Canis lupus familiaris: one gene and its partner. The protein of the gene in region 1 purifies or fractionates together with the protein of each later gene. This does not show direct contact. Links are inferred from orthologs where the notes say so. Each region holds a gene or a part of one and is shown in the gene's direction. Other genes may lie near its edges. The genes, in order: PTPDC1 and PPP2R2D.

Region 1 (3,803 bases):
TGCTGACCAAGCAATTATATTTGTTCGGGCAAAGCGGCCCAATTCCATACAAACTCGAGGACAACTGCTGTGTGTGAGGGAATTTACTCAGTTTCTGATTCCTCTTCGCAATATATTCTCTTGCTGTGACCCCAAAGCACACGCTGTTACTCTAGCGCAGTATCTCATTCGCCAGCGGCATCTGCTTCATGGTTATGAGGCCCGACTTCTGAAACACATTCCCAAAATTATCCACCTCATTTGCAAATTGCTCCTGGACTTAGCCGAGAATAGGCCAGTGGTGACAGAAGAGGTGGCCGAAGTGCCCAGCCTGTCTGCCGAAATTGAAAAGACGGTTTCTGAGATGATCACCCTGCAGCTGGATAAAGAGTTGCTGCAGCAGGGCAGCGACGTGTCAGATTCCTTCCCCCCAACCGCGGTGGCCACAGACTTTGAGAATCAGGATGTGATTCTTTCCAGCGAGCAAGAGATTGACCCTCTTTGGAAGAGGCGGAATGTCGAGTGCCTTCAGCCCCTGACTCACCTGAAAAGGCAATTCAGCTACAGCGACTCAGATTTAAAGCGGGCTGAGTCGCTTCTGGAGCATGGCAGTGCTCCGTGGACAGGACCTGCCCCGGCCTTGCTTGGCCATGACCCCGAGCAGCAGAAGCCCATAAGCCACTGGCACACCCCTCAGTCTCCGCAGCTTGATCCAAGTAAGGAAACGCTGGTCCGAAATACGTTCTCTTTCTGGAATCAGGCTAAATTTGGAGGCCTGGAAGGACTCAAAGATGAGGGGGCACCGGTTTTCCATAAGGAGACTATGGCAAAGGTTCCGCGGAGCAGAACCTTCTCTTCAGGTGTTTCAGGTTCATACAATCCTGGGGAACCAGCTCTACCGGACCGTGCAGATATTGCCAAGGAGCCAGGCTGTTCTCTGCAGCAAGTGCCCCGCTGTCAGTGCAAAACTCCTGCTGGCTGCTGCTCTGACCCTTCCCGCAGCCCTGTGTCTTGTGGCTTCAGCCCCAAAGCACCCTTCTCGGCTGGACACACTCAAGTCCCCAACAGCAAAGATCTGCCCACAGATGCTCCAAACACTGCTTTGCAGTCTGAATTGAGTGTCGAAGCCAGGAGAATACTGGCAGCCAAAGCCCTGGCAAGTTTAAATGAATGTGCAGAAAAGGAGGAGGTGAAAAGGAAGGTAGAAATGTGGCAGGTACTTGTATTTCATTTAATTGTGTTTGTGTGGGAAATACATATGGCAGAGCAAAAATGTAATACATGTTACCAAATTCAAGGGTTACAGGAGTTTGAAGACCTGTTGGTGTAATACCTAACTTTTGAATTTCGGGTTTCTTGATCTCTGTGTGAAAGTGCTCGATGTTTAGCACTTAGCGGGGTCCTTGGAGCAGGGCATTGATACCAATGCCTGTGGCAGCTTTCTACTTTCCCACTGGGTGCATGGACGGACAGACCACAGCACACAGCTTTAGGAACTGATGTGAGCATCTCTAACCTGAGTCTGATAGGGAGCCATGCTTGGAGAACCACTGACCAAGTGAAATCAGAGAAAATTCTTTTCCAAAGCATCAATCCAAGTGTTGAGTGAGGTCAGAACACGTGACGGATGCTGTCAAAGATATTATTTATGTAGAGAGAGTGAGAGGAGTGTGGGGGGAGGGGCAGTGGGAGAGAGAGGAGCACAGAGCCTGACCTGGGGCTCAATCTCATGACACTGAGATCATGACCTGCCCCAAAATGGAGACAGATCCTTTACTTACTGAGCCGCCCATGTGCCTAGTACATTAGTTTTACCTAAGATTGTGTCTTCAGGGCCATTTCTTGGCTTTTGCTTAAATTAGAACGTGAAATTTTATTTTTTTTTAAGATTTTATTTATTCATGAGAGACCCAGAGAGAGAGGCAGAGACACAGGCAGAGGGAGAAGTAGGCTCCATGCAGGGAGCCCGACGTGGGACTCGATCCTGGGTCCCCAGGATCAGGCCCTGGACTGAAGGTGGTGCTAAACCTCTGAGCCACCCGGGCTGCCCAGAACGTGAAATTTTAAATTTTAACCCTTTTTATGGTGTATTTTCATTAGAAACACAGTCTTCAATCGGTTGTGCTCTTTGCCCTGAATGAGCAGCTGGTGTAGACAAAAGGCAGGCCTTAACACCTAGTTACCAGAGACTAGTCAACTGCCCAAATGTGCGGCTGACCTGGGGAGGCCTGGTTCAGTGAAGTCTAGACTTGTTAGCCCATCATCTCCCACAAATTATTTGTGTGGCTGCTCCTCTGTAGTTTACATAAATTAAGCAAGGCCAATACATGTTCCAGGAGGGTCAGAACCTTCCAGATACAGAGGTGGGAATACTAGCCACAGAGCCTTGCACCCAGTCCCAGCTGTGGGGCTGCAGAGCATGTGCATGCTGCAAGTCAGAACTGCAGGTGTTTGCTGAGCCAATGGTTAAATGTAGTGACTTCTTACTCCAAAGTGAACAAGCCTTTGGGTCAGTCAGCCTCGATCTGTGAGGACATGTGGCTGGCCCCCTCCCTCCCAGGTCAGCCTAGCATGGTGGACTGTTGCAGCACTTCACACACAAAAGCATTCCGGGGGTGAACATGACACTTTTGTTTGGATAGGCTTGCCCTTTATTTCACTTTCTGGATTTTGTTATATGCCTTTGAGCAATAAAACATAGCTGAGTTCTGGAAAAAGCCCAGTGAACTGTGATTTGGGCAGCACAGTGCAGCCTGTTCCTGTGCTGGACCCTCTCGCCTGCTACGTTGCAGGGACCCGTAGGGCAGAGGATACCCCAAGATCCTTCGTGAATCTTCACAGTCCACATGAGTTAAGTATCACAGATAGGAAAGCCAAGGGTCGGGGGGTCAAGACACATGCTCAAGGTCACATGGCCCGAATGTGTATGACCCGTGGGGAACAGGGCCTCCACACAACTAAACATAGTGGCTTCTTTATGAAATAATAAAGAGGAACCAGAGGATCCCAGAGCCAAGGACCCTGGCGGGGGCAGGAGTACCACATCTGGACTCATGCACAACCTAGGGAATGAAAGCTGTCTGCCCTGTTGTGCTTTGGGCTCCTGGGTAAGCACCCTCTTCCCTGCACCCACACACCTGCCATCAGGGTCTCACTACAGGTGTTGTAGGAATCGAGTAGGTTATGTGCTACCGGCTGTCCTAAGTCTTGTGAAAATACCAGAGGCATGAATGAACAAATGTGCAAGGATTGCGCTTGCTGCATACGCTGTATTTACTAGCACATACATCTGAGCCCCATCAGAAGTTAAAATTCTTCCTGCTTTTCCCTGGTCTCTTCACAGCAAACTGTTAGGGGCTCCTGTTTAACCCCCAGCACGTGGCATGTGGGCAAGGCCAGCTTGCCCCGCCCCGTCCAGTCTCAGGGTGTGGGGCTGGCTGCATCCAGGCCTGCAGGGGACTCTGAAAAGGTGGGTGAGAGAGCTGTGTCTGCCGCAGCTGCCCGCCATTCAGCAGTTTTCTGGGGCACACTTGGAAGTTTTAGCTTTTCCTCATTCTGGGGTAACCTGAAAATGTTGTCTTATTTGTGCTATGTCATCCACCATTCTATATCATCGCAGTACGTATTTCTGTTTTGTCCCAAGGAACCTAAAAGGAAGGCTCCCTCTTCCTGAGCAGCATCTATGGTTTCAGAGCGGGGCAGAGAGCTGAGCTTTTGGGCCAGCCAGTCCCTCTCTCAGCGGCTTTAGCACACCCACGGGGCTGCGGCCAGCTTCATAGACGGAAACCGAGGCTCGGAGAGACTCAGCATCTCAGCCCTGTGTG
Region 2 (3,903 bases), on another chromosome or scaffold:
GAGGTGTACACTTTGTTCGCTCTGCGTGCCGACAGACCCTGCAGACGGGAGCTGACCAGTGAGAGGTGTTTGCGGATTGGCAACGACCATCTAGCGGTGTGACACGGTCACGGCCGGATTCACCGTCACTGAACCAGTTATGAGCTCAGGTCCATGAGCCCACGAATAATAGCCCCTCCAGATGCCGCAGAAAAGATATGAACGAAAAGAGGGTGGGTCACAGCTGCACGGAGTCACCGGACGTCCCCCCAGGGCTGTACCTGGGGCTCAAGGCGCCTCTGAACTGACCACTCCGTAGAGCACGTGAGCTCTGGGCGGGGCTGCCCGGTGTGGGGGGGCACGGGATTCCCGGGGTCTCGGCGCTGCAGGATTTACAGTCCCGCCCGCAGCGGGAGCGCCCGGGAGACGCGCCCAGGTGCGGCGGGGGGGCCAGATGCGGCGGGAGCCCAGGTGCGGCGGGGGGGGCCAGGTGTGGCGGGGGCGCCAGGTGCGGCGGGGGCGCCAGATGCGGCGGGGAGCCCAGGTGCGGCGGGGGGGGGCAGGTGCGGCGGGGGCGCCAGGTGCGGCGGGGGACTCAGCTGCGGCAGGGGGTGCCAGGTGCGGCGGGGTGGCCAGGTGCGGCGGGGGCGCCAGGTGCGGCGGGGGACTCAGCTGCGGCGGGGGGGGGCCAGGTGCGGCGGGGTGGCCAGGTGCGGCGGGGGCGCCCAGGTGCGGCGGGGACCGCCAGGTGCGGCGGGGGCGGCCAGGTGAGGCGGGGGCGCCCAGGTGCGGCGGGGGACCCAGGTGCGGCGGGGAGGCCAGATGCGGCGGGGGGGGGCAGGTTCGGCGGGGGGGGGGCCAGGTGCGGCGGGGGCGCCCAGGTCGGCGGGGGTGCCCAGGTGCGGCGGGGGTGCCCAGGTGCGGCGAGGGCGCCCAGGTGCGGCGGGGTGGCCAGGTGCGGCGGGGGCGCCCAGGTGAGGCGGGGGGACCAGATGCGGAGGGGCGGGGCCAGGTGCGGCGGGGTGGCCAGGTGCGGCGGGGGCGCCCAGGCCGGAGCCGACGAGCGCCCGCATTGGCTGCCCTGCCCGTGGACCGCGCTGCCATTGGCCGCGGCCGTCTGGGGGCGGGCCCGGCTCGCGCGGGGGACCGCGGCCGCCTCGAGCCCTCCCGGGACCCGGAGGGAGGCGGGCTGCGAGCCGCAGCTTCGCCGCGGGGGGCCAAGGGCGCGCCCACCCGGGGCCCCGCAGCCGCGCGCCCTGGACGCCCCCTTCCGGCTCGGGCCCGGGGGGCTGGGCTCGGGCCGGGGGGCGGGGCTCGGGCCCGGGGGGCGGGGCCCGGCGGCAGGAGGCTCGCGCAGGCGCGGTCGGCGCTCCCCAGCCCCCGGCAGCCCCCGCGGCCGCGCCCCGCCCCGCCCACGCAGGGGAGCCTCCCGGCGGCCCCGCCCCGTCCGGGCCTGCGGAGGAGGCGGAGGGGGATGACGTCATCGAGCGGGGCGACGGGCATTGGGCGCCATTTTGAAAAGGGAAAAAAAAAATCCCTCCCCGGCAGCCGCGGCGGCGGCGGCGGCGGCGCGGCGGCGGCCGGGCTGAGGTGCTCGGGCGGCAGCAGCGCGGCGGCCGCCTCCTTCGTGCGCCGCCGCCTCGGCGCCCGTCCGTCCGCCCGCCCGCCCGCCGGCCATGGCAGGTGAGGGGCCCGCGCGGGGCGGGGCGGGGCGGGGCGGGGGTCCCGGGCGGGGGCGGCGCGGGGCCCTGACGCGCCCGGTGTGTCCGCAGGAGCCGGAGGCGGCGGCTGCCCCGCGGGCGGCAACGACTTGCAGTGGTGCTTCTCGCAGGTCAAGGGGGCCATCGACGAGGACGTGGCCGAAGGTGAGGCCGCGCACCTGGCGGGGGGGCGGGGCGGGGCGGGGCTCCCGGGGGGCGGGGCGGGGTCACGGCCTCCCGGGGCGGGGTCACGACCTCCCGGGTCCCCCTGCCCGGCGGGCGCGGGGGGGCGCGGGGCTCGGGCCCTGGGCGGGCGGCGGCGCCGCGCTGGTGTTCGGGCGCCAAGGTCACGGGGGTCCTCGGGCGGCTGCGGTCCCGGGGGCGGGGCCCTTGGGCGGGCTCGGGGCGCCGGGCCTGCGGGGGGCGGGGGGCGGGGGGCCGGGCCCGGGACGCAGGGACCGCCCTGCCCGCGCGCACCTGCCGCCGCTCCCGCCTCCCGCCTCCCGCCTGCCCCCTCCCGGGCCGGGCTCTGCGGGCGGACGGCGCCCGGAGCAGGAACAGGCCGGGCTGCACCTCCGGGAGGGCGTAAAGATGTATATACGGTTTGAGCTGGGAAAGTAGGTGGTTTTATGTAACTGGAAAAAAAAAAACTTATACCCATTTTAAGCACATTACTTTTTTGTGTCTTCCCCGTGCCAGAGGGGTGACGCTTCAACTGTAGCTCAACATTGTTTTTTTTTACCAGGAGTAAAGCGACCCTCGTTCGCTCGTTTCCGGCCCAAGGCCCATCTCCGTGGCCGATTTCCCTTTTCCTAAAAAAAACTGGTTGACAAACTGAATGAATCAACAGTGAAATGTAACCGACGTGGCGTGTCTTCCGCGCGATGTTGCACTTTGAAAATGGTCTTAGAAAATCTTCACTGAGCTAAGCCGAGCGGAACTTTGTGCCAATGTTGAACCCGAGCTTCCAGGACAGTCAGGAGTGGCTCTAGAGGTTTGCGGTTGCAGCTTAGCCTCTTACTGTAAGATTTCTTTGTGGCAATTCCGCGGGTGTCCTTTGCTCCATGTGTTCTGAGTTTCCCTTGTCACCCACGTCGGCCTCGGTCATCAGTCAGGGGAACACATCCAGGGCGTCGTTCTGAGAGTCGTGGCGGCGTCTGTTGTATGGTTGCTGCGAAAGTCAGTGTCCACGCAGACAAGGCTGTGGACCGGGAGAGTGAAGGAGCTGGGGCGCACTCAGCAGCGACGGAGAAACGTTGACAGGAGACGAGGAAGGTTGGGTCATTGCAAGGAGGTTGCGGTTGCCCCAATACCTGGCTGCAGGACCCTGTAGTACCCTGTATTTGTTGAGATTCACAGCATGTGCCGTGTTTGTCCTGGCCTGAGCTCTACTCGGAAGAGCCCCTGTTACCCGGCGCTTCCCATGACAACAGCTGGGGCCAGGCTGCATCAGGCAGTTCAGGGCTCAGGGCTGGAGGGGTGCAGTGCACAGAGACATCTCGTCTCCTTGTTGTTTCTGGGGACTCGAATCATAACTCCTGAAGGAAGTATGTACTGTGTACAATTTGATGGCTTTTTTTTTTTTTTTTAAGATTTTACTCATATATTCATGAGAGAGGCAGAGACACAGGCAGAGGGAGAAGCAGGCTCCATGCAGGGAGCCCAACATGGGACTCGATCCCGGGTCTCCAGGATCACGCCCTGGGCCGAAGGTGGCACTAAACCGCTGAGCCACCCCAGGGATCTCCAATTTGATGGCTTTCATTTAAAACAGCAGGGTTTTGCTTCAGCATGGGCCAGGTCAGCAGAGCGCCGTCAGGGATTTCTCACCTGCTGCCAGTAGGAGTAGAGCTGGGCTCAGCGGGAAACTGGTGCTTTTCCTGCTGATGGCAGGATGCGGGAGTGACAGTCACTACTTCCCCTGCAGTTAGCTGCCTGTGTGTGTAGTCATTCCACCCAGCAGGTGGAATAGGTGAGTACAAACCACGGGGAGGCTTCCAAAAGGAAGTGAGAAGAGAAGTGGTTTGTTAGCGTGTGTCTCCGGACCTTGTGCTCTAGGCAGTGAGCGTTGTGCAGAAGCGGTTAGGTGTTTGTGCAGATTTCCAGGTGTGGTACCGGGCCCCAGGCCCTACAACCTTCTTGGGCCACGTCCACTGGACAGACGCCTTTTGCAGATGTCACACTATGCTGCAGTCCTCTGCCAGTCTGTCCCCACGCATACCTT

What was found.
Region 2: the proteins of PTPDC1 (region 1) and PPP2R2D purify together in Homo sapiens (affinity purification with mass spectrometry; 5 studies listed by BioGRID and IntAct, counting the BioPlex papers as one, with this or other methods). This does not show direct contact. The link is inferred for Canis lupus familiaris from reciprocal best matches to the Homo sapiens genes PTPDC1 and PPP2R2D.

What each region holds. Positions count from the first base shown.
Region 1 is NC_049222.1:98,671,429-98,675,231, reverse strand, and holds part of PTPDC1 (protein tyrosine phosphatase domain-containing protein 1), read left to right. Parts: coding exon 1-1,195; intron 1,196-3,803. UniProt on the Homo sapiens protein: May play roles in cilia formation and/or maintenance.
Region 2 is NC_049249.1:40,496,518-40,500,420, forward strand, and holds the start of PPP2R2D (serine/threonine-protein phosphatase 2A 55 kDa regulatory subunit B delta isoform), read left to right. Parts: upstream 1-1,627; 5' UTR 1,628-1,655; coding exon 1,656-1,662; intron 1,663-1,751; coding exon 1,752-1,844; intron 1,845-3,903. UniProt on the Homo sapiens protein: Substrate-recognition subunit of protein phosphatase 2A (PP2A) that plays a key role in cell cycle by controlling mitosis entry and exit. Involved in chromosome clustering during late mitosis by mediating dephosphorylation of MKI67.